Oreochromis niloticus: one gene and its partner. The protein of the gene in region 2 purifies or fractionates together with the protein of the main gene of each other region. This does not show direct contact. Links are inferred from orthologs where the notes say so. Each region holds a gene or a part of one and is shown on either strand. Other genes may lie near its edges.

Region 1 (13,606 bases), on a different chromosome or scaffold from region 2:
AATATTACTTAGTACAGATGGGCTAGTGGTCACTTGTCCCTGTCATTTTAGCTATATTTAGCCATTATACTCTTACCGTCATCAAGGCAGCTAAAGTTAGAATGTTCCAAATGCCATATTAACTTGAAGAGGTTGCGTCGGACTAGTGTGAAACACAAGGCTCTGGATTGTTATTTTAGTTTTTATGCCACACATTCTAGCAATTTAATTTTCTTGTGGGCGAGACTAGGGCTGTGCGATATGACCAAAATCTCATATCCCGATATTAAGACATCTATCGTCGATATAACGATATAAATTACAAAAATGTAACATTTCCTGTAAATTCTGTGAATCTCGGGCATCTCGACTTGGGTGAAGTGTTTCCAGCTGGGTGTCGTGTACCTGGAGTCGAGTGTTTTAACTGATGCATGGAACTATACATTTTTAGACGTAAGTTGTAACGGCCGCTGTTTTCTTTGTGAGTATTTATTACACAGCATGCTGCGGAGAAAAGTCTGTTCTAACGTTTGAGTCTAAGGTTTATTTTTTAGCACCTGGCGGCTCTTTTTTGCTTCTCATCCGTTAATACTCTGCATCTTTCACGTGACTCGTTTTATTTTGAAAAGTCTCAACAGGATCTTGAGCTTTATTGTGAAAGGTTTATGTGGAAAATAAACAAGCGGACACCCCGTGGTTTTACCGTCGTTGTTGCTAACGACAACGCATAAAAAACAAGCGCTTGTCCGTCCGTAGTGTGGTTATATTAAATATAAGAGAAAGAGAACTTTAAGAAATTAATATAGCCACTACAGTGACCATCAAAATGATGAAAAAATTATTGCCGTAAACAGTTTATTTTGCGACACCACGAAACAAACGATAGCGTAAAATGAAACGATAGACGTTTTTCTATCGTCATCCGATATATATCGTTATATCGAACAGCCCTAGGCGAGACTTTACAATATTACATTATTTTACTCTTTAAGCTACAAATATATGTGCTTGAAAGGGAGGGCTTATGTTAAAAATATGTATCACCTTTTCATATAGAAGATTACGTTATGTTGAGTTAAAATTCCACTAATTAAACATTATTTGAGAATTAATAATACTTAAAGTGTGCTCAGAGCAAAATATTGTACTCTAATGCTACACCAAACACCTGGCCCAACTGGGCTTTCTATACTGTATGTAATTAAAGCAATAAATCTACATACATGTTTGTCTTACCTCTTATATTCCCAAGGTAGAGTCCATCAACAACCTGTGAAGGAGCAGTCACAGACATGTTGCACTTAGAAGTTCATTACAATTCAGCTTCAAGAACCTCGCATGAAAAGAACAAATGTTCTAGTTCGAGCCAGATTGGATTTAAAGCTTAAGGCTTAAGATCCTAGTGGAGCTATGAGCAAAGGAAACGTTCCTTATGGCCATACAAGGTTTGAAGCAATGATGCATGGTTATCTGAATGATGTGATGGGTGGCAAACAGCCACTGAGTGTTACTGTACAGCTTTGGTACTATACCTATGAAACAATAGCTGTATGAAGGTAATTAAGTGCTGGATTGATTCTAATGAAACATTTCACTACAGTACCTGAACACTGTTGTGGCAGTTCAAAATAGATGCGGATGACCAATTTCATTTTTAAGAACAAAACAATATAAACAATCTTACTTTTTAATAAAAGCAAAATGAGTTAGATTTTTCTTTTTAGGAGGACCCTTTTAACTGTCAATTAACAATGAGAGTGCAATATCACAGCAACAAAACATGACATGCAGACACCGATGCTTAAGGTTGGCAAACAACAGTATTGAAGGTTAGAGTCTACCACAGGAGCCCTGGCTTGGATTCAAATTTGTTTTTTGTTTTTTTGACAGGGCAGAGCGTGTCACGTGATTGATTAGCGACGAGTGATTGGCGCCTGCGTTTACCAGCCACGCTTTGGACTTTTAACCATCAAAAACACCCCCAAACAGCGTAATGACATGACATAAACAACAACAGCAAACCTACCTTATTCATTCCGTTGCCCATGGTATCCCTGGAACAGTCTGCGGTTAGCTAAAAGACTTTAATGCGTTGAAGAGCAAGGATATGGAATCCAAAATGCGAGGTTAGCCTGTGTGACTGCACTGACTCTTTAAGCGGTTAAATAACCTTCGCTTCAGACGCTACTTTTGCCTCATATTTAACAGCATTATTAGATTAAACTGCTTTAAAACCACTTGTATTTGTTTTAGCTTTGACCTCGTTTCAGCCCCAACAACAGTTCCGTCATGCTGTGTCGTCTTCCGGATTATTTTGACGTGAAGCGGGTGCAGCTGCGGGTTCATCCGGCGTGTGACATCACAGCATGTTGCAGGCGACACAACAACTGTGCTTTCTGAGCTTACACCTTCAGGGGGAAGCTAGAGATAAGCTCACAATCAGACCTAGTATACAGTATAAGATTTAAACTTAATTTTATGAGGAACACAGAAAACCCATAGATATCGCTGCAATTTCGCCTCAGCCCCACCTGGATTTGAACATTTTTCGTAAACGGGGATCAAAGTTAACCCTGTATGGTTGTTTAGTCTTTAATGTTAGCCCTCTATGGTATGCTGATGCCTTCAGGCAGCAAACAACATTTTTGGTGATTATTTTTATTATTCTTTTGTGACACAAGACACCTCCGTGCTTAGCTAAACAACGAGTAGATGAGGTATTGATCTTTGATCTGGGGGTGGGGCAATCCTTTCCGGGGCCAAGTCTGCATGTGACACAGCTTACAGTCCTAGCTGCTGCTAAGTCTAATTTCATTTTTATGCATGTTTAAATTGAAATACGTTTTTATGGCAGATTCTGATTTAATTTATTTACTAAAATACCATTTTTGGTTTGTTGCCTCAGAGCAGTATTATGCAGTTTGGCCACTTTTCTTCAGGCAATAATGGTAAAACATTGGCTCTAAATTCTGGTCTTTGGGGCTGCCTGTGCTCCCATAAAAGCACAGGATGTTTTCCAATTTCTTGTGTCAATGTGATGTTTGTAAAGATATGACACACATTTCCCTCTCATTGTAATATTCATTACTCTCATAAGAGTACATTATGTACAAGAGTCCAAACATTCCTGGATCCAGATTTCAACGAACCAAGACATGCATCTTGTAAAAATTTTCATGCAAATTCCTCCACAACTTTTTCTGATTATGATAAACTCCATCACAGCTCGGTAGAGCAGGCCACGTAATTATTGGAAGGTTGGTGGTTTGACCCCTGTGTGCTCCAGTTTGCATTTCAAATATCCTTCGGGAACTAACCCCAAGCTGCTGTAAATGCGAGTGAATGTTAGAATGCACTTGCATAGAAATACCATTGTGCTTGTGCAAATGGGTGAACAGAGTTGTCTTAAGCGTTCTGAGTGCTCAGACAGAGTAGAAAAGGGCTATATAAGAACCAGTCCATTACACCCTTCAGCAGAAAAAGAAACAACCAAATAGTTGCATCTTATTTTCCTCAGAAAAACTGGAGCAATATTCAGCGGTCCATAGACCAAAATGTACTCAAAATTCAGGATTATGGTTACAGAAAATAATAAACAAACAGATATATATATTAGATATATTTCAACCTTAAGAATAATTTTATATCTAGCTGCCATAGTTTGTACCTGATATGTAAAATCAGTGTTAATGAAGGAGTCATACAGTTAACACAGTTAATCAGAAGTTTAACCAGTTTAACAATTTTTATTTTTATTATACACAACGACCTTAAGAGGAAGTGGTCTTCCAAAAATCACAGGTAATGTGAGGTAATGTGGACATCTGATAAATACAGAAATATATGTATTTTTGTATCTTTGAGTTGGTCTGCCTGTATATAGAACTGTTATGGTCCTCTTGGTCTTTTACTTTTTCCACTGCTTGTTTTCGTAGTCCCAGTGGGCTGAGAAACCCTGCACTGGGCCCATTCTCATGTCCAGCATTCTCTGCAGCTCCTTCTCTTTGTAGTCACCCTCAAACGTATGTGGAACAGGTCCATACACTGGAAAGAAACAAAAAAAAATGAGTCAAGTGATGAGCCAGATTATACCGCAAAAAATGTGTTCAATACTGCATTCTTTACTTAACCAACGTGGAAACCTGAGGCAGCTAAACATCAGATATTACACAGGTTTCCTTGCATATAAGCAATATTTTTCATAATTACCATATTTCCTCTGCCAAAGCACAACCAGCCCAGTGAAGCCAATGAAGAAGAAGACTCCTCCAACCACAGACTTCCACTCTCCTGATCCCTGGTTCATCTCAGCGAAGCTCTGCTTGAAGCTGATGCGGTACACTGTAAAGTGGAAAAACAACTCTAGATTACATTTTTTAAGAATTTGGAAACACAAATACTCTTGGAATATTACACCACTCCCATTATTTAGCATGAATTTAAACAATTTTAGTACTCGCTATCCTACATAATAGGAGTGGTGCAGTTATACATTACATTAGTATAAATGGGTGAACAACACTATAGCGTTATTGAGTCCTACATGCAATCTTCTCCTCATTAGAGAGTGCAACCCAAGAACCCTTCTCCTTCTCCTTCAGGGACTTCTGCTCTGCACTCAGGTTCTGCACATAGCTGACGTCGGGAAGAGGGCTGTCACGCCTGTCAAAGTATGCAGGGAGGGCATAGTCCTCAACCTTAGCAACACCTGCAGGGGAGACCACAGTAACTCATCAAATTACTTTCACACATAATCCCTCAGTTAATGTCAATGCTTTTTTTAAACCTTATTTTAGTTACCGGGCTTATTCCAAGACCAGATTCGTTTTAATTTTGTTCTTACATTTCTGCTCTCAAATGCTGGATCTAGTTCACTGTAGTGTTGTTTATCACTGTTTATCACTGTTTAGATGTACTGCCACTTGAAACTGCAGAACACTGCAAGTCAAACTGTGAAACTTGTCAACATTTTGATTGATATATTTATTTGGTGCAAGCTTGGTCTACATTGTTAGCTATCAAATAACATTATAGCTAACAAAATGTTAGAAATATTCACAGGTAGTATAAAAGATTGATAGTAGCTTTCAGGTATGAAAGGTGAAGCCACTGGATAAGTGCCTTAAACCTGCATTCTTTTTTATGGCCAGCAGTGAGGCCACTTCTCTGATTGGATAAAGACTTGTTAGATACAAGTTTATGGGAAAACAGCCCCATCCATGTCTTATATACAATTAGTGTGTGTGTGTGTGGGTGGGTTTCTGATTGTGAGCAGTGTTTAGTTTCTCATTTGGCCTATAATAAACTGCAACATTGCAGCAGCAACAGCACTCCTGAAAAGTCTGTTTTGTTTTGTTTTTGTTAATAAAGTAAAACCCAGCGTAATCTGTACTTAAAAAAAACATTTTATCTCTGTGTAATTTTGGATGTAAAACTGGTGCATCTTCTTTAATCTATTGCCATACTTACTAACTTAAGGTGTCAGTTACTAGAGACAAGTTTTTTTTCTTCACACCAGCCAAGCTCCCATTACATATTAGAAATGTGGTATTACAGGAAGAACATGGATTAATTTTACAACACAAACAGCTTCATTTATTTTAAATGGCCAACTGAAGGTACATTTTAAACGTTTAGGTGTATATGAACAGAGATTTCAAAGGGTCAGTGGCACAAGCAGAGTCTATTGTTTTACTGCCAGCCATAAATAGAACACATTCAATGTATTTCTTCTTATACCTACCATGTCCTCCACGCACACAGACAGATGTGGAAATGGCACGTTTGCCAATAAGGCTTAGGGCTCTGGTTGCCAGCATTCTGTGGAAAACGTCATATAAGAGAAATTAAGAAACCGTATTAAGCACTAATAAAGGTTAAATAACTTTACAATTGTTTCTGTCTTTTAATTTTTAAAGTAAACCCCGTTTCAATACGAGATCATGTACATACATAACAGAGAGTAAGCTGCACAGGGTAGGTGCTCCATATTTACATAGTACGCATCACAATCTTTTATAAGCTATTTATATACATAAAATCCTGACTCATTTTAAAATAAGTCAGTTACCATCAATATGTAAAATTTCCATACATGAAATAATCGTCCAGGTTGGTGGGCTTATTGTTAAGAGTGCAAAATGTTTGGTTTTACTACGACCGTCCAGCTAACCTGATGTTAGCATTAGCAACAAACACAAGGTCATAGCACCAGAGGATAAATATTCGTAGAAATACCAGATTCTCTGATGCGACCATGCAATATTCATCATTCTTCTATTGACTGAAACTACATTAATGCGTAATAACGGCAGATGACTAAAACATGTACTATCTTCACATCAAACCCGCCTTCATAAATCTGATGCTACATGCTAATGACAGCTACCCGGAACATTAGCCAGTCCTCGCTCCTATCCGCTCCGACAAAGTCACTACTTATTTCGGTTAAAATAGGCGATTCTTCGCAAGCCGTTACTTTTTCCTAGGATGCACATGACGTGGATGCTAAAATTATGTATATCTACGAAGGATAAGTAATTTATTATTGAGTTTAAAAAAATAAAATAAAATCATACCTCTTGTCTCTTTCTTGCTCCCGTACGCCGACAGTCTGAAGGGAAGTGTGACTGGGAACGGAAAAACGTAAATTGTGCGTTTGACCGGATGGACTCTGATCTCGTTTTACGACAGTTCTGATTTACGGCACCACCGGTGCTACAGCAACGAGTGGAAGGTGGAAGTAAGATTAGCTTCTGTGACTGCACGCCGACTAATTTATCCAGCATAAAAGGACTGCTGTCATTTCGGATAATTGTAGAGCTTAATGAACTCATCACAAACTGTACTTCCGACCTCATATCGTGGCAGCAAGTTAACTGCTGAGGTGTACATCTACTTTTCTCCGGGCATGTTAAGTAACGATAGCTAACGGTAGCAGGCAGCTGTCCCCCCCTCCTTATCGTCTAACTTAGCCACTCTGGCAGCTTTAGTCTTTACTGAAATTCTGCCGATTTTCTTATAAAAATGCCCATTCAGCTGACAAGTCAGACGTACTGTAAAATGCTTTTACATGCTGCCAAATATCCACACTGCGCCGTGAATGGATTGCTGGTGGCAGAAAAGAAGAAGGACAAAAAGAAAGACAGCCACAGTGAGCCAGTTCTGTGCGTGGACTGTGTGCCTCTGTTTCACGGTACTCTAGCTCTGGCACCAATGCTGGAAGTAGCCTTAACGCTGGTAAGTATCTGCATATAGAGTTCTGTGAAAAAAAAATATTTGCCCCAATTAAATAGAAAATGTAGGTTTTAAAGTGATGATTTCATTTATTGAAGTAAAAAAAATCACTTAATTCACTATCCACACCCAGGCCTGACTACTGTAGATCTGTTACAGCAAGAAATCACTTCACGTCTGTTTAAAAACAACTCAAAGTATTCCATCTTTCTATGATCTAAAGGCACTCAGAAGAAGAAAAAAAGTCACTAGTATGTGCTGGCGTGGAAAGGTTGCAGAGCAATTCTTGTTGTCATTAGAATGATGAGAGCCATTATCAACCAGTGGAGAAAACTTGGAACAGTGGTGAACCCTCTCAGGCTTGGCCAGCCTACCAAAATCACTCCAAGAGCACATCAGTGACTCATCCAGGAGGTCCCAAAAGAACCCCAAACAACTAAAGACCTGCGTGTCACAAGTGTCACTTGCTTCAGTTAAGGTCAGAGTTCATGATTCACTGGCTGAAAATGGCATCCATTGGAGAGCTCTAAGGCAAAAACCATAAACCTGTTTACAACTGGCATGAAACTACCAGAGAATTTCATAATATGAACATCATAACAACAATCAAACACAGTGTTAGTGTGATGGTCTGGGGTTGCTTTCGCTGTTTTAGGCCCTGGAAAAATGGCTACACTTGTAATTAGAACCATGAATTCTGCTCTACCAGAAAGTGCACTTGGGTTATACAGCAGGACAATAATCTGAAAAAAAGGAGGAAGTCCAGCTCTGAGTGGTTAAAAAGAAGTACATTCACAGAGTGATAGTTTTGAGGTTACCTAGTCAAAATCTGCACTTAAATCTGTATGGAATGCTTTGGCATTTCTCCAGTTATCACTTGACTTCAGGTCTTGCTGCCAAGGGTGGCACAAATAGTTATTGGGTTTAGGGGACAATAAATTTTTCACAGAGCCAGGTAGGTTTGGGTAGCTTTTTTCCCCCCTGACTAAATATTGTATTTTGTATTTACTCAGGGCATCTTTGTTTAATATTATCTTTTGTTTGATTACAAATTCTGGTTTAGACACTTGCCATCTAGTATGCCCTCTAAAGTGACATTACAGTTTTTCTTTCATTTTAAATGTTTTATTGTAGCAATTTGTTAGGTTGTGGTGCTGTTGAAGTATCCTGCTCTACTCTAAAATCCATTACTAATGTTGTCTCACTTTTATTTATGGTAGTGAGATTGGAAATAATATCAAATTAATGTCTGCAGCTCTGAAATAGTTATAAAGTTTCAGTCTAGCTCATTTTCCTATGTTTAAAATAAAATATACCTGACCTAAACTATGTTTCTGTTCTTATATCTCGACCTGATGGGCCCCTGCTCCAACTCCAGATTGACACTTGGTGTAAAGAAAATAATTATGTCATTGTCGGATATTATCAAGCCAACGAACGCACAAAGGATTCAAGGTAGAAACACTGGCGCCCTGCTGTTCCAGGGAAAAACAACCACTGAGAAACCATGCTGCATCCTGGTTTGGACTTCACTTTAATATATGCTTGATCTTTTCTCCTGCAGGCCCAACCAAGTTGCAGAGAAAGTGGCGGCCAGAATTTCTGAGAACTTCAGTGAAGCAGCAATTGTTATGGTAACTATAAATTATTGAGGCTGATGCAACTGGGTTACACGTTATGTTTTGGGGTTTTTTCTCCAAAGCAAGTGCTGCATCCATTGTTATAAATGCATCCTCTTCAGGTAGCAGCTGAGTTTTAGTTCAGTAAAAATGAACCAAAATCCTTAAATACACTTGTCAGCACAAGCCTCTATTTATGTCTCTATTTATACAGTAATATATAATATTGTATAAGTAGAGTGACTGATGTGGTTCTACAGGTTGAAAATAAAGCCTCAAAATTCTTTCAGATATTTCAGTGAAATTTGCTATAATGACATTTATGATGATGTAGAAAAAAATGCTGAGCCCTTTATAGGTGATTGCAGCTCGCAGACAGCAGGATTTAATCCATGCAAACAAAGTGTAGCACATCTTTCATCCTTCTTTTCCAATGAGCTGCTATCACTGATGACACACTGCCCAATTTGAAGTGTGAATCTATCGCCACAAGGTGCCAGCAGCAGCAGCGGCATTGTAGTGCAATAGCAGTGACACAGCAAATGTAAGCACAATATCCTCGCATTTAATAAATGACAATGTTTCGGTCCTGTTGACCTTCAGCAAGAGCCTGGTTGTAATTTTATAGTTTAAACGTATTAGCTGTAAGTGGGAGAGTGTGCGATGAGTTCGAATTGTTTCTGTGGAATTTTGTCACACGTTTGGTTGTGCAAAGATTTTGAATTAGTACTTTGAAACATACTAAAACTGAAATAAAACAAAATAATTTCTACCCAGGGTGCTTTTTTAACCAGCTGCTTAAAGTCAGCTGCTTTTCCACCATGTAACCGCATCAGTAATTTCTAGCCACTATTTGCTCTACCTGTCATTTGTAGTACAGCTGGCAAGTGCTCCAGCTCGACATATCCCCAGCTGCTTATATCTCCTCCTTACATGCCATCATACTCAACGGGGTGTTTTTGCCTCAAGTGGTGACACAAGTTTGTCGTTTCCACCTTTAGCAGGAACAGTTTTCTTCCATATTTTGCAAAGCATTGTTTTGTTGGAGATCATTGAAGTAGCTGCCTTTTTACTGGATCGTTCAGAGTCTGACATGCAGCTCTCAGTCTCAGACGTGTCTGGGCGAAATAATTACATGTATTATAAAATATATAACACTTTTTCTGAAAGACATTTTTCTTAGACCCTGGTCTGGTCTGCAGTTGTTGTTGTTATCACCTAAAAGTTGCACCTAAATTCACAGTAAATTTTGCGTGTTTTCCTGCAGGTGGACAGCAGTAAGTTAACAATGAGCTGTTCCGAACCCATCGTCTTGATCTATGATCACCATGAAAACAAGTGGAAAAGCAGAGAAGTAACGGCGTAAGTGTTAAGAGCTATTTTAGTGTGAGATTTTATCTCCCTCTGCCGACTATTTGTGCAGCTAGCTCGGAGCTTCCAGCATATTTACAACTCCAAGTGTTCTCTCATTTACTTGGATTATTTAGACAAAGTACATTACACTGTAATTACCCTGTATTTTCAGTATTAATAGCTTGAATATATAATTTTTTCAAAAAAACTGTTTTCCAGTGACTCCTTTGAGGACTGGAGCGAAGCACAGAAAATCACATCTGCCCTGCTGGTGGGCCGTTCCTATGAGAACTTGATTGATTTTGACAATCACTTGGATGATCTGAGGAACGACTGGACCAACCCTGTTATTAACAAGTCCGTCCTGGATCTGTGCTAAGACCTTCAGTCGGGAGTACCCATGACACACACATGCACGCACACACACACACACACACACACACACACACACACACACACACACACACACACACACGCAAACAAATATATTGCTGCCAATTCAGCATGCACACTGCTACTTGTGTAGCACAGGAGAATGAAAAAGCTGAACCTATAGTCTGTGTTCCATAAAAAGTCTCTCTCGCTGATGGGAACTTGTGGGGCGCTGGCCAGTTAGGCCAAAATGTTTTAAGGGCAAGCATCATATGTGCACTGTTGGCCCATGTCCACCTTTTACAGGTTGATGCTGCAGTGATGAAAGCTTTTATGGATTTTTTTTTTTATGCAACTTTGGGTTTTTTTCCCCTGCAATGGGTTTTGATATCCTGTTTTGTGTAAAAGTTTAGATTCTAGAGGTTTAAACCAATGCATTTGCTTTTAGCCATACAGAGATCAAGTTCTAAATTATTAATTTTTAGGTAATGATTTTACAACTGATAGGATAAATGTGTGTTCTTTATTAAATTTCTTGTTTATAAAAGATCTAAAGGAAAATTCACATATATAAGTGAAGTCTGAAAGTTTTAGATGACGCTGAACCAGAGATTTGGCCCATTCAAAAGCCCCAACTTTAATCCTTCCGTAGATGCATTTCTAGCGTGCATGCTTCTCGTTACTGCCACTAATGCGACGGAGAATGTCAGTCTGGATGATGCACGTGTGCATTTTGGCTCTTGATTTATGATCTGGAAGACCGGCTCTATACTGAATCAGATCACAGGAATGTGTGAATTTTGTTTTGTGTGGATATCCGTTCTAAGAACTAGATAAATTCTATGTTAACACTTAACTGATTATTCTAAATCCAAATATTAAAAAGTTAATATTTATTGTGAGACTACAGAAACACCTTTTGTAATTGAGGTTAGAATTAATCAGTTAATTGTGTCGATGAAACATTTTCTACTGCAATTGTTTTGAGCTGAATGTTCAATGAAACTGATTTTTGAAAACATCTACATGTTTCCCAGGTCTCTTATTGCCTCTTATGTGTTAAACTTATTAAGCTGTGTCTTATACAGTCATTTGCAAAAGGACTGTTCAGCCATGCTAAGGTAAAGTGAAGCCTTACTGCTTCTATAGGCTTAGGTTTATAGAGCTGCATTTGAACAAACTACAAGTCTTCTGGAACAAAGTCCTCTGGACACAAACAAAGAAGACAAACTGAAAACACAAACAGCATATCAGTACAAACACCTCATACCAACAGTTGCGTAATGGAAGAGGGGTGATGATTTTTTTGCAGCCACAAGACCTGGGCACCTTGCAGTTACTGAACTGGCCATGAAACCCTCTGTATCTGAGGCCATCTGTCTGAGAGCTTGGTCAAATCTGGGTCAAGGAACAGGACAATAATCCACAGCACAACAGCAAATCTACAAGAAAACATCTGAAAAAGAAAAGAATCAAGGTGTTGTAGTTGATCCAGTCCAGACCTCAACCTCATTGAAATGCTGTGGCTGGACCTTAAGAGAACTGTGCATAAACAAATATCCACAAACCTCAATGAACTGAAGCGGTGTTACAAAAAAACAATGGGTCAAAGTTTCTCCACGCTGTGAGCGACTGATAAACTCATACACAAAGCAAGCACTTCAAGTTATTGCTCTTAAGGTGGTTCTACAACCAGAGCCATGTGAAAGCTTTCTTTTTCACATGACTGCATCTCTGCCTTGACAATTTAAAAAAAGCCTAAAATCACTTTTAGAATAATCACTGCCCAGCTTTGGGGGTTTTTGTATGGTTTAGCAGCAGCCTGTTGAATTAAGGTTTTTTTAATAGCTTTATTCAAGAACAAAATACACAGAGTGCTTTACAGCACAGAGTACGATACAAATAAAATGGTATATTAAAAAACTAAATAAAAGCAATCCTGCATATATGGGTCTTAAGTTTATTTTTAAAGATATCAAGCAGTCCACAGACTTTAGATCCAGTGGAAGCAAGTTCCATAACTTTGGAGCCACAATCACCTTTTGTCTTTAACCTGGACCAAGGTACAGCCAATAACCTCAGAGTGCTAGACGTCATGAATTGTTACAGTAGCTGCGGTTTTCTAATAATTTAGTGGTGCAAAGTTCATATTCGCACGTGTCTACAGATTATTTCATGCTTTGTGACCATTCCAATCTATAGCTTCAGTCTCCCATACTCTGCATAATGTAATTCTTGTAAAATGAAAACTAAATGACAGTGTGGTCGTATCTGAAGCAAGACTGTGATGAACTCATGGAAGTTTTTAAACAAATGACACTGTATATTTTCCTAATATCCGTATTCATTTGATGCTACTTTCTACTCCAGCACATTAAGTGAGAAAACAGAAATCTGACAGCTACTTACATTATTTTTAAATGTATAAAAAGCTAATAAAGTGGTCCCTACATTGACTAGTTACTCTTACATGCTACTTACACACTGCCATATCAGCAAAAATAAATAAATAATAGTAATAAACAAAATAAAACATGGAATTAAAACAGAGATGTTAGAGATGTGAAAGTGGTTTAAATTGTGAATGTAGTATTCTAGTTTCAGTAAAGATAAGTACTTCTTCTATCAGTGCACGAAAATGAACTGAAACTAATTCTAACTACAGCATGGGTGTATTTCTGCAGAAATACCTCAAGCACAGTCCACTGACAGGAAATATTTGAAGTGGATTTGAGAGCAGATGTTATTAAAATAAATGGTTTGGATTCATGAAGAAGTTTCATTGCTACTTTAAATAATAGATTGCGGTGTCTTCTGTCAATTTTCTTTGTTCGTTTTATCTCAGCAAATTTATTTGAGATGTGTGGTGTGAATGTTGTGAGGCCGTTTGTACAACCCAGGAAGAATCCTTTGGATGGATTTGTTGATCCCAAAAGGGAAATTACTTCAGCAGCAGAAAGAATAAAAATAAAAACAGTATAATGAACAACAGAAATATTTTTAAAAAGTACGATAGGAAAACACCGAAGGCTGTAAAATGTGAAAAT
Region 2 (12,395 bases):
AAGTTCTTTCATATTATCCTATTACCTGTATTATTGATTAGAACAAAATTAAATAATGTTCTCTACTTAAAGAGGAATAACAATATAAAAACAGCAATGCAGCCCTGGCAAGACCTCCTACACTGGAGTCCATTTGTCATCCTACAAGAAAACACATGCTTGTAATGTCTTCAGTGCAATAATCTGATTGATGTTCCTTTTTTTCGCCTGACTGGACCTCTTAATTAATCATTCTATGGTTCAGGCCAGTTTTAACCACGAAGATAATGTTGCTGTTTCCACTGTGTCTGCTGGGTATAGCCTGCAAAAGAAAAAGCTATACAGTGGTATTATGGTCGATATGCTTAGTCACACTGTGTGTGTATTTCCAGGGTTATCTTTCCGTGCTGTCCAAAGATGTGAAATTTGTAAGGGGAGGGTAGTCGTGGACCCAAACGTGTTTGACTTGAAGGACTGTTACACGAGAATTCGGCAGGTAAACTGAGACAGAAACAGTGAAGCGGCAAAATTAACAAAAAAAAAAAAAAAAAAGCTTTTGAAAAATTATAACTATAATTACATGACTGCACTTTGTCCTTCCCCATCTGTTACAGGATGATGGCATCACTGGACGCTCTGATGTGTCAGATATAGTGGATATCATGATCATCTCAGGAACTGTACTGTATCTATCCACATTTAACTCCCAGTTGCCCTGGGTAACTATACAATCTTAATGTTTTATTTTTCATTTGCTTTATTTATGTTTTTGCATAAAACGGATGTGTCATGGTCCTAATACTGTCTCTGTTTTGCTGTGCCACTTTGTGGTTCTAGCTTTTCCTAATTTCTGGTGCCTTGTGTTGTCCGACTGCCTCTGTCTTCATGTTAAGTGTTAGTTTTCACATTTCGGTGCAAGTTATTTCTCTTTGTTTTGTCCTGGTTTCCTCTGATGGTTTGTGTTCTTGTGTGTTTTGGGGGTTGTCTCCACTTGTGCCCTTTTGCTACCTGGGTCATGTTTTGTAATTCACCCTCTATTTAAATAATCGTCCCATCATCTTTGGTCCTTTGTTTTCCTTCCTGTTTTTGTTTTACTCTGCATTTTTGTTTTTCATCTGCCTTTTCATTTACTACACACAAGAAGATGTTTGTTTCATCCCAAAGCATAATTATCTTTGTACCAGTCAATGTAAACACATTTGAAGATTCTGGGTTCTCTCTACGGCAACTCAGTTTTTCATTTCTTTCTGCAGATGCGATGGATGTTCATTCCCTGCATGTTTGCCTGCCTAATGACAAGAAGAAAGATGAGGAGGAACCTTCAAATGTTAATGGACACTTGATCCCCAGCTCAAATCCAGATTTGAGTGTTATAATAAATTGCAGTGCATCAAATTTAAGCGAGTGGATAAGTGTCAGCAGCTATAGTAAGGCTGTAACAGTATTTGAAACTAAATCAATTGTATTTCCACAGCTCTAATATCTTTTTATTTATTTGGCTTTACAGAATGAACAGTTAACAGTGTTTTTAACACTTTGGCAACATTGCCAATCTTTGGTGATTTTTTTATTTGTTTAGGTGACATTTCATTGCAGCACACAGATTTTTTTCTTCTCATGCCAGTCATGAGAGTGGAGTGATACTGGAGCTGATGCCAACAATGTGCACCAAAGTCGCGTGAGCGAAATCAGTGATGCTTCTCTTTGAGATTCTTGTGATGTGGCTCAGTTCTCCAACTACCTACAGTTAAACACAGTTAGATTAGATTCAGATTTAATTTAATTGAAATCAAGTAGGTGACTTAAAAATGTTATTTGAACCTTTAACAGTGACAACAATTTTGTTTGTAGGTGTAATATAAAAAAAGAAATTTTACTTTACCTCTTCCCACTTTCTGAGGATGAATGCAGCCACAGCGATGACACCAACACCCAGAAGCATACAGTCTTCAGTCACTGGTACAAATTTTTCCCTGGTTTTCACAAATGATTGATGACATATTAAATCACACAAAATCAAAACATTTATATTAACAGTGGATGGGGTAATTCTATATACTGATATCAGTCTCTTGTGACATTAAAAGTCTTTCAGCTCTCCGCTTTGGTTGATTAATTACAAATATTTTTTCACTCCCAGCATTGTTTAAAAAAAAACATACAGTTTACACAGTTTAGAAAACACAGTCTCAAAATTTTAGGTAAATAACTCAAACTTGAGAGAAAATCACTAAGTTGAACTAAACTGAACTTTTCAGAAAGTAACCTGAAATTTTGAGGTGGATGGAAAAAAATGTTGGGGTTTCGTTTTTGTTTTTACTTGCAAGCAAGAGGACAAGAAGGGTTCAGATCCAGCCTGGGGCCTCTGTGTGGAGTCTGCATGTTCTCCCTGTGTCTGTGTGGGTTTTCTCCAAGTACTCTGGGTCCCTCCACAGTCCAAACACATACATGGGGTTAGGTTAATGGGTGTTTTTAAATTGACTGTAGGTGTGAATGTGAGCGTGATGGTTGGCTGTTTCTCTGTGTTAGCCCTGCAACAGATTGCTGACCTGTCCAATGTGTACTGTACCGCATCTCTCACCCGCTCTAAACTGGATAAGCAGAACAAAATGGATGGAAACAAGACTCCATTTCTGATGCAACATCTTAAATTATTATGAACAATAGTAGTCCTGACGAGCTGTAGGCTTTTGAATTAAGTGAAGTGACACTGAAGTATCTGTGTGGCAACCAGAAAAGAGCTGGTCGAATTCTCTAAATACTAAAGAATGGCGCTTCAGGGCTTCCTGTATTACCTCCTTCAGCAGAGAATACAGCAGACCAACCTTTATGAAAGGAAAGCAGATAAAGCTGTCCCATAATTCACAGCAATACATCATCAGACCAAAGGATCAATATGACTGATGTATGTAATGCAGATCATGTAAATGTTTTTTAATTGTATGTTCAACTTTGTGCCATAACCTGCTAAGTTTTGAAGAAGGTAAAAAAAAGGAAAAGGGTCTTTAAATCAGGATGATGAGCTATTTAAGGTTTATTGTAATTCAGTTTGCTAACTCAGTCAGTTATGTCCTCAGTTTAATTGCTGCTGTATTGCCAACCTTTATGATTGCGATGAAATTTTTTAACTTCAGTCAGAGAAAGCCTTAATATAGGCAGGAATTACACTGGATCTGGAAATATGAGCTGATGGGATGAGAAAGTAATCTCAGGGTGACAAACATTTCATTTCACTTTATAGGCCATTTATTTCTTTTTATTTAAATTTATAACTTCAGTAATGAAGTCATATTTTCACAGTTTCTCTATTATATGAGCCGTATAAAACAGTATTATAAGGACAGTGAAAAGGGCAAAGTATATAGGATGAACCTTTTGTAGTCAGATTTCAGCACATTGCTGTCTTAACATCAAAAACCTATGTATCCAACATCTGTGGCCACATTATTAAGCAGCTAATGCAAGTGCAGCCAGATTCTCTGAGCACTGTGGTTCTCTTTCCCTGAGTCCTTATGAATTCTTCAAATCTTTAATGGATCTCATGACATTTCCCATCAAGGTCACACAAAAGTGATTTGGACCATCTGACCTTTGAATGTACTCCAAAGCTGCATGTCCATTCTACCATCTATCAGAAATATTTTCTTAGAGCCAAATCTAATACCTCTGTTCCCTGGATGGGCTGACACACTCAGTGGTTGCCATTAACAAGGTTTCATAGATGGCAGTCCTCTCCAGGCTGATAAACTGGAGAACATGGTGGCAGTAGTGATAAAGGTGCTTCAAAGGGATTGATGGCTCATTGTGTCCTACAAGAGTTTATGTAATCATCTCAAAGCCCTGACATTAATATTTATAATATGTAATAAACTTTTCTGTGCATACACGGACCCTTACCGAGAACTTCCAGAAGTATTTCCACATAAGTCAGTGGGTTGAGGACATTTAGTCTGAATTTAAGCCCTTTCAAGACCATCAGCTCTGATTCCAGGAGAGCCTGTTTGGATACAGTGCAGCCGACTGAGTGTAGAAAATGTACAGCAGTGTTGTTGTCAATCATCTGGAAAAGGTGTGGAAAAATTATGCAAGATTATTCTATTTGTGATCTCAGGGTAATTGACATAAGTAATCATTGGCAAGGCAGAACTTGCATGACTGTGCAGAGACAGTTTGCTCGCAAGCTGGACACAGGAGAAGATGATCAGCGGGAATTTGTCCTTCAGTTTGTTATAAACAGCATCCTCATAATGTCTCGGATGATTAGAAGTTGCACCTTTAGGTGTGGGTGTGGTTATGTAATCTTCAATGTATTTGACCATGAACCTGGCAAAGATAATTATTAGAATTATTATTATAAGTGACAGTATATTAAGTATGACTAAAACCAGTAATACACAGGGTGTAACCAACAGGGAAAGTTACATGTGCTGCGTGATCATACCTTTGAAGTAATTCAACAGCGTGGTAGCCAGCCAGCGGATCCAGTCTCAGTTCTTTAGTTATCAGTAAGATGTACTCTGAGTAACACAGGAGAGGAAGGCACAAGAGCAAAACATAAAACATTCAAAATAATTTAGAAGCAACATTAAAGGGACACTTGACCCCAAATTCAAATTTGCCAATGTTTCTATACTAGTTTGATGTGAGTTCTCCAGTTTAAGAGCTGCTGAGAAGTCTACCTTCAGTTAATCACATATTCTAAGGACTGGTGCTCAAAAAGCCATTAGCCAGTGAGTATATCCTGGATACTTTTCCTTTCTGACTTTTAGAATAGACCAAAGATTCACTCATTTGACCTGAAACTAGTGGTTTAGCCCATAAAGTCCTCAGGAAGTTATTACAGAGATCAGAGCTGTTTCCCCATAAACAACTATAGGACTGAAAGTCTTTTTGGAGCTGGAGAAATCGTTATGGATATTTAAAATATGCGGGTTTAGACCACTTCTGGGTTGGCCACACTTTTTTTAATCCTACAAAGCTTTGTCCATCCTTTATACCTACCTTTCCAAATTGCCTGCCTGTGTATATACAGTTAGAGTGTCTGCTCACCTTTCTCTACCTGCTTTCCAGCCTTCGTGTGTTTTCAGATTTAAGGTTTTAGCAGGTTAGCTTTCAGTTTCCCTTTTGAACCTAATGTTGCATCTTTTGGATTTAAAGCAACTCAATAAATGGCTTGCTTTAAGTTTCCCTTTGCCTACTTGAGACTTTACATTTAGGTCCTCATCTCTGCAACATTTGACAATAACAGGTGAAACCAACACTGATAAGCACTCCTCACAAGGCTGTTCCCATAAATCTAGCCATATAAACTGTATTTTAGCTGATTTGTGGGCTACAAGGAAGCATATGGATTCATTAAAAGTTATTATCACTGTTTTCCATTGCTCCTCCTCATCCTCTCTCACAGGATTTGTCTGCGGAGATGCTCCTAGCTGGTAGACTCAGCTGCCTCAAGGAGTTTATATTGTGAATCGACCTCCATAATGACAGGGTTCACAGATCCAGATGTATGAAAGAGTTCAGAGTGATTACAGGGTGCAATGAGGCTTAGTGGGCCATTCAGAGGTAGTCCTATACAGCTTAGTCACTACCTGCTGACAAAAGACAGACTTCACCCCAAAGGCTTGAGATACACAAGAAACACTCTGCTGTAAGTCTAGTGTGTACACAGTAGTGGTTTATAGTAGTCTATCTACCATGGATGATATGCTGCAGTTTTACTTTAAGTCTGCATTATTTTCATCTGGACTATTTTTTTAACATTATTTTTATCTGAGCAAGGTCACTACAGTTAACTGAAATTAAATGAACAACTATAGGAGTAAAAACATGTTAAAAACTTGATTTAGTCTAATCAATAAATTAATTTATTTTTCATAACCAAAGATGTTTTGTTTACTTAGAATATTAAATAAAAGTAATCCAAACATACATAATGATTTTAGCTGTAGTTTTTGACAGTTTGGACAAGTTTGTCATTGAAGCCAGCCTCAGTTTGCTTTAGCACTTGTTTATTGGGCGTTTACAAGACTATAAAAAGACAGTTGGCCTCACAAAGTGTTGTGTTTGTAGTGTGGCTCTTTACAACACATCTGTCTAGCAGAGAGCCAGCTGTTCTCTCTTATGCTAGCAGTATATTTCATGGTATAATACTTCTGCTGTGCCTTTTCTTTTAAATGCCTTTAGTAAGCATTTTTTTTTTTCTGTTTTATTTTGCTTTGTTGCAGGGGTGTCCAACTCCAGGCCTCATGTGCCGGTGTCGTGCAGGTTTTAGATGTGTCCTTGATCCAACACAGCTGATTTAAATGGCTAAATTATCTCCTCAACATGTCTTGAAGTTCTCCAGAGGCCTGGTAATGAACTAATCATTTGATTCAGGTGTGTTGACCCAGGGTGATATCTAAAACCTGCAGGACACTGGCCCTTGAGGCCTGGAGTTGGAAACCCCTGCTTTATTGAATTTACTGAGCTATTTTTAAACCTTTTTTTTTTTTTTCAGTTTCAAAAATAGCATTTAATTAAATTGTTCTTTCTTGTCACTTTATTTCAATGTATTAAAATTTTAACTTAATTGGATTTTTAACATTTGAGTTGTTTGAGTTATTTGGGTCATTTGATTTCTTTTCTTTATTATATTTTTTTCTTATTGAACTCACTTGTTCTGGCCTATTATATATTATTTTGTTATATGATTTCACTTAAGTTATTTTATAGGGTATGTAATGACCTGGTGTTTTTTTTTTTTTTTTTTTTATCACAGAAAATTCTCAAATTTGGGATATATAAAGTATAGTATACTTCATATACCCCAAATTTGTGTAGTATATCCTCTCAGCGCAGATCTGATAATGTCATTCTGAACTTCCCCCACCATTACAAAACAACAACAACAACAAGAACAAGAAAAACGACTTACAAATAAAATAACAAAGAGTAAAGTAATGAAAAAGGAAAGGAGAAAACAACAAAAAATACAAAAAATATAAATAAACAATCTGTAATTGTGAGGCATGTTAAGAAACAAAACAAACAAACAAAATCTATAATAGTGAGCATTTAAAAAAATCTACAAAGAATTGCAAACACAAAACAACCACATCTAAAATTAAAGAACAAATAAACAAACAAAAAACAAAGATAAAATCTCAGAAATTTGGAGGAAGGTTTAAAAAACCCAAATACATTATAATAAAACAATAAAAAAAAACTTCTACTTGGCTCATTGATAAATTTCAGTTGGCAATAACGGAAAGAAAAACGGTTATTCACGTGATTCCAGCTGAAAATCTTGCGATATATATTTTTTAATTACCGTTACGAATAAAAGAGTACAAACAAATGTTTTCTACAAAATAATAACATTGAGCAATACTCACCAATGACTCTCTTATTTCTGAAATTCCCGCAATATTTCGTTAAACTCGGGAGGTCATCTTTGTTTCTTTTGTCCAGATTTACAAGAAAATCAGTCAGTAGGTCAAAAGAGGCCTCCCCGAATTTTACACCTGCTGCGTTACTTTTACTTGGAGAAAAAAATAATCTTTTCGCCATTTTAAATTACTCTGAGCACGACAGACAGCTACATTTATGTGACAGACTACGCTTAAGTTGTATTTAATTTTTCAAAACTAGACACCCATAAATAAATAACCTGCGTCTTATATTTTCCAAAAGATGGCGCTATTCCCGCACGTTTCCCCCGTAGGACCGTTTTCTAACAGGAACCAAAAACTACTTCAGCGACTCATTTGTAAGTTGCACACGTTGGTTCTGTGGCGGTTCCTCTCAGCGCAGATCTGATAACACCCGGATAGGACACATGCAGCGCGCTTTGACAGAGCAGAGTGTTTAGAACGCAGCGGCGCGTGTAACAGTTGTGAAAGCGCCGTGCTAACCTCACAAATTGCAGATATGGCCGACAAAACGCCGCCTCAGAAATCCAACGCTCCATATGCAACCAGGATAGACCCAACCAAAGAGGGTCTTTCTCAAGATCAGATGCATTTTATCAGACAGGTGGAACTAGAACAGTGGAAGAGGAGAACGTCGAAGCTGCGGACACGAAACGTGGTGACGGGACTCGCTATCGGAGCGCTCGTGTTGGGAATCTGTATCCTTGTCAAACGTCAACGCAAGGTGAACTATGTAACGTTAGCTTAGCATGCTAAAGTTAAGCTGTGTCCTCTGTTTAGGAGTTAGGTTAAGCGCGTTTACCAAGTATTAAGACAAACACAAATGTATGGGCTCAGTCCAAATTTTAGAATTAAGTTAGAGTAATAGCTCTCAGTTTCATTGAATGCTAATGTGACAGCTAGCTCAGGTAGCTGTAAAAGTGTACTGCCAAAGGTAAACATCAGTGTTGTTGCGTTTAAAAGAGAATTAATTAAGAGAGTTCCAGGGTTAGTAATTTAACTTTTTAGAGATGGCAACGAAAAGTGGCCTCTGGAGCACCTCGTTTGAAGGAATTTATTATTCTGTTGATCAATGAAATTCATTACCTGAAAGCAGTGATACTTCCTCGTGTTTTTTTTGGGATAAACGTGTTTCCTGAACGCATCACTGGCAGCTTGTAATGACAGATGTCGAAATCTGAAAGCTTCGTCCTTTTAGACGTCTAGGTGTTGTCTTTACATAAAAAGTAGTTTTATACAGTCGATAACAAAGCTTTTGCCAGGGGAAAAAAAAGTTGTTTAATATAACAATAAAACTATTAGTTACTCCATTACTGCATCCATTTCTGTAACAACTCTTATGGGAGTTAAGCGCGTCAGTAGCAGCCAGGTGCTGTTAATCAAATGTACTTGATAAGTTTGCAAAGTTGCTTCTGAACAAACCATATGACTCCTTGGACAGACGAGACCAAAGTGGATTGACAGTAATGCACAGCATATGAGTACAAACACCTTACTGTCAAGCACAGTGGAGGTATGATGATTTGGACTTGTTTTGCAACCATAGGATCTGGACACCTTGCAATCATTGAGTTTATCATAAACTCCCCTGTATACCAAAGTATTCTAGTGTCAAATCTGTGGCCATCTGTCCAACAGATAATTCTTCTTCATTTCAGGGAATTTGTTTTGTTTTCATGCTTTCAAATATTTCTCTTAACCACGTGCTTCCAAATTAGACGGCTACACATTTTACTCAGTCTCCCAGGAGCGGATCATGGATGAGATCGACGAGGAGGCCAAGCGTGCGAGAATGCAGGGACCAAAAACCGGTGTCAACTGAGATTTAAGTGTCATCTGCTTGTTGTTGGACTTTGTTCCTGTCCTGCACTTAACAAGGAGGAGGACTCATGATGCCACTGATCATATTCCATGGCTGCCTGGCTGCTGTATTCTTTTTTTAATGTTGAGAGAACTGGATCTTGACCAAGATCCAGTTCAACCAATCAAGAACTGGTCTCGATTTGAAGGCAATTGTGTGGCTGACTTAAAACTAAGTGCGGTGTAGTTTTGAAGAAGTTTTCCTGTCAGTGGAAAGGACCAATCCACTGACTTGATCATGACGTTAGAAGCTACACTGTAGCACAATCAGCACCCTTTACTTTAATTGGGGCTGGAAACATCAGGTAAAGGGAATATAAAAAAGAAATCAATGACTTAAAAATCTACAGTGGCCTTCAACAATAGAGAATGCCAGTGACACTGCAGAAATAACATTATTTATGCTGATAAAGTTGATTTATGAAATAAAATAAAAGCCTCATGTATTAGAATGTTTAAAAGCTATGTCTCTGTATGACCATTTATTTAAGAAAAAGACACAGATAAAACCGTAAACATGACACAAGACACCGTAATACTTAGAATCGCATTTATTTTCATCAAAATTTAATATATGGAGTTGGATCTAGCCACCAAATCTCAAGAGCAAAATAAGACATTGTTAGGGAAAGGCACAGATTCAGCATGGCAGGACAGCAGCTTCAGGAAGCAATACAATTATATATTTACATTCAAATAAATCTGGACTAGAAACTTTATTTCCTTGAATATATTAAGATTCGGGAGTTTAGGTGGCAAGAAATTCAGTGTGTGATGGGAATATTTTAAGGCAACAGCTACAGATTCACAGCTTTGACTGATTCCTCTACACCCCACAAAAATAGACATTGTTTAAAACTGTGGGTGGGTAGATCATCACTTCTGTGATCAAACATGAAACGGGAGATTATCTACCTCCCTTGTGGGGGGGAAAAAATGACAGAAAACTCGTCAGCTCTCGCTTGAGTGAATAGTTTTACACACAACTGTGTTAATTGACTGAGAACTACAAGTGGATTTACTAAAGTGCACAAGGTGCTTGGTCTATGGAACAAGCGACAAATTAGACTTTTGTTTGAGAAAGGATTAAGGTAGCTGAAGTATTTAATTTGCTCCTAAATTGTAAACATGATCTATAAATGAATTCCATTATATACACATGTACAGTCAACAGGAAAGCCAGTAGTATAAAGTCTAGGTGGATTTTTTTCCCCATCCTTTCCCCATTTTTCTTTTAAAAAACCAGCTACCAGATTTTGAAAGTGATGCGTAACAGTTTTACACTTGTGCACCATTTAACTGAACTTCTGCTCATGTGTTTAAAGCCAGATTTCCCTTTTGCTGAAGAATTGTACAACATTTCTAACTGTTGGGAAACGATATCTTACTACACAGCTGTACAATGGAGAAAAAGAAAAAAAAAAAAAAAAAATTACCTTTACTATATCTGAAAATATCAGTGATTGCAGTCAAACATCTCCAGGCTGAGTCTAGAGAAAATATAGGTGTCCAAATCAATAAAGGAAGCCAGATAAAGACTACAACAAATAACTGAATGAAGCCCCTGGAAGGCATTGATCACAGTTCTACTAAAAAAACCCCAAGTATGTTCACTGTGCAGCTGCTGAGACATCTTTACCAAACTACAGCGAGTAAGGTGTGTAACAGCTGTCAGTGTGTGTGTGTGTGTGTGTGTGTGTCAGCCTCACTGTTCACATTTCTGTGCTCAGACTGGATTAACAGCAGTGAGTCAGACAAGCAGGAAAACAGCAACTGTTGTCATTCTGCGTCAAAATCGTGGTAAAGTGCTGCAACTCGGCAGCTGCGGCACAGCATACCGCCGCTTGACTGCGTTCAGGCAAAAAGATAAAAATAATGTCGTGATGCGACACTGTGCAGAGCACTGCGGCAGCCTGGAATGAAGGTGGTTACGTCTGAACCGTTGGGATCTGACAGTTTATTTACAAAGAGCAGACACGAACGTGTCACTTGGCTGCTATTCTGTGCTTCAGCTGCAACAAGTTCACCAGGTCGTGATGGTGGGCTGAAATCTGGAGGTTACACTTTCTGTGCAAATCCAGCTCCACTGGTGACGAGTTTCTATACATTTGAGGTAAGTGGCCACCGGCGGACAGGGAGCAGTTTGCAGATAGGTGTGCCAGGGTTAAAGCGATCCTCCTACGGGACAGGTTTGACCACTGCAGTCACACTTCAGATGAGGTAGTCCAAATAACGGCGTGCTTGGCTGGGAGTTTGTTACTAGAAAAGTGAAATATAAGAATACGATTTAGGAGGACAATGGTTAAAGGGTGGCTACAGGTTCTTATGAGTATAAACCTCTCCTGACATTTTTGCCTCCTCTACACATTCAGGTCAGGAAATGTAACTCGATGTATTAGGCTCTTTCAGGCTGTTTTAATAGGCGTTGAAACAGTTAGCAGTAACAGTTGGATGATAAAACACATTAGCTGATTTAATGGATGTAACAGTTTAAGCTAAAGACTGCATATAAAAGATGGATGTGGTAATTGTGACATCACCCATTAGTAATTGAAGCCTCAAGCTAAGCGTTTTTGCAGTCATGACCCATTAGCAAGTGAATGCTCGGTTTCTAAGATGGCTTTCTGAAACATCTGAGAAACCGATGGACGCTGCACACTGGTAGGCTAACGACTAATGGATGTAACTCCGGTTTATCCTCCATTCTGACTCTGGGTGGGATCATAATTTACAAAATGAACATCATGTTGTATTGAATAAGACACAAAACTTGGAATTGAGTGTTTCATGACGTCACATGTCAAGGCAAGCCAACTGGAGGAGTTGCCCCCCTGCTGGCCATTAGAAATAATGCAAGTTTAAGGGTCTTCAGCATTCCCTTACTTTCCAGACCCAGAAGCCATCTTTTGCATACAGACTGTTTTAGATCCAGGGATTTAATGGAAACCCTGAAGATGCTTTTAAAGTTTAGTGACAAATATGAGGATAATGAGACATGACGACGAGAATAACAATTACTCTTGGTGGTTCAGGCTTTGTTGGTTAATCTAATTTGGATCAACAATAATATTTTTACTTTGTTTTCATAATAATAAACAACTGGAGGACCATGTTTGCATTTCAGCTCACTGTCATGTTGATGAG

What was found.
Region 1: the proteins of coa3a (region 2) and cox4i1 purify together in Homo sapiens (affinity purification with western blotting; 3 studies listed by BioGRID and IntAct, with this or other methods). This does not show direct contact. The link is inferred for Oreochromis niloticus from reciprocal best matches to the Homo sapiens genes COA3 and COX4I1.

What each region holds. Positions count from the first base shown.
Region 1 is NC_031965.2:23,276,281-23,289,886, forward strand, and holds cox4i1 (cytochrome c oxidase subunit 4 isoform 1, mitochondrial), read right to left. Parts: upstream 6,693-13,606; 5' UTR 6,558-6,692; intron 5,800-6,557; 5' UTR 5,799-5,799; coding exon 5,723-5,798; intron 4,688-5,722; coding exon 4,523-4,687; intron 4,321-4,522; coding exon 4,189-4,320; intron 4,024-4,188; coding exon 3,887-4,023; 3' UTR 3,699-3,886; downstream 1-3,698. Other genes in the region: dusp22a (dual specificity protein phosphatase 22-A), read right to left, coding at 1,216-1,249, 2,006-2,026; emc8 (ER membrane protein complex subunit 8), read left to right, coding at 7,006-7,218, 8,594-8,670, 8,780-8,849, 10,102-10,196, 10,407-10,566. UniProt on the Homo sapiens protein: Component of the cytochrome c oxidase, the last enzyme in the mitochondrial electron transport chain which drives oxidative phosphorylation.
Region 2 is NC_031973.2:7,305,430-7,317,824, reverse strand, and holds coa3a (cytochrome c oxidase assembly factor 3 homolog, mitochondrial), read left to right. Parts: upstream 1-7,750; 5' UTR 7,751-7,890; coding exon 7,891-8,089; intron 8,090-9,109; coding exon 9,110-9,213; 3' UTR 9,214-9,583; downstream 9,584-12,395. Other genes in the region: uncharacterized protein LOC102076803, read left to right, coding at 372-475, 594-698, 1,233-1,322; cntd1 (cyclin N-terminal domain-containing protein 1), read right to left, coding at 1,604-1,720, 1,862-1,952, 3,644-3,788, 3,877-4,039, 4,131-4,302, 4,421-4,496, 7,356-7,530; wnk4a (serine/threonine-protein kinase WNK4), read right to left, coding at 11,508-11,510. UniProt on the Homo sapiens protein: Core component of the MITRAC (mitochondrial translation regulation assembly intermediate of cytochrome c oxidase complex) complex, that regulates cytochrome c oxidase assembly.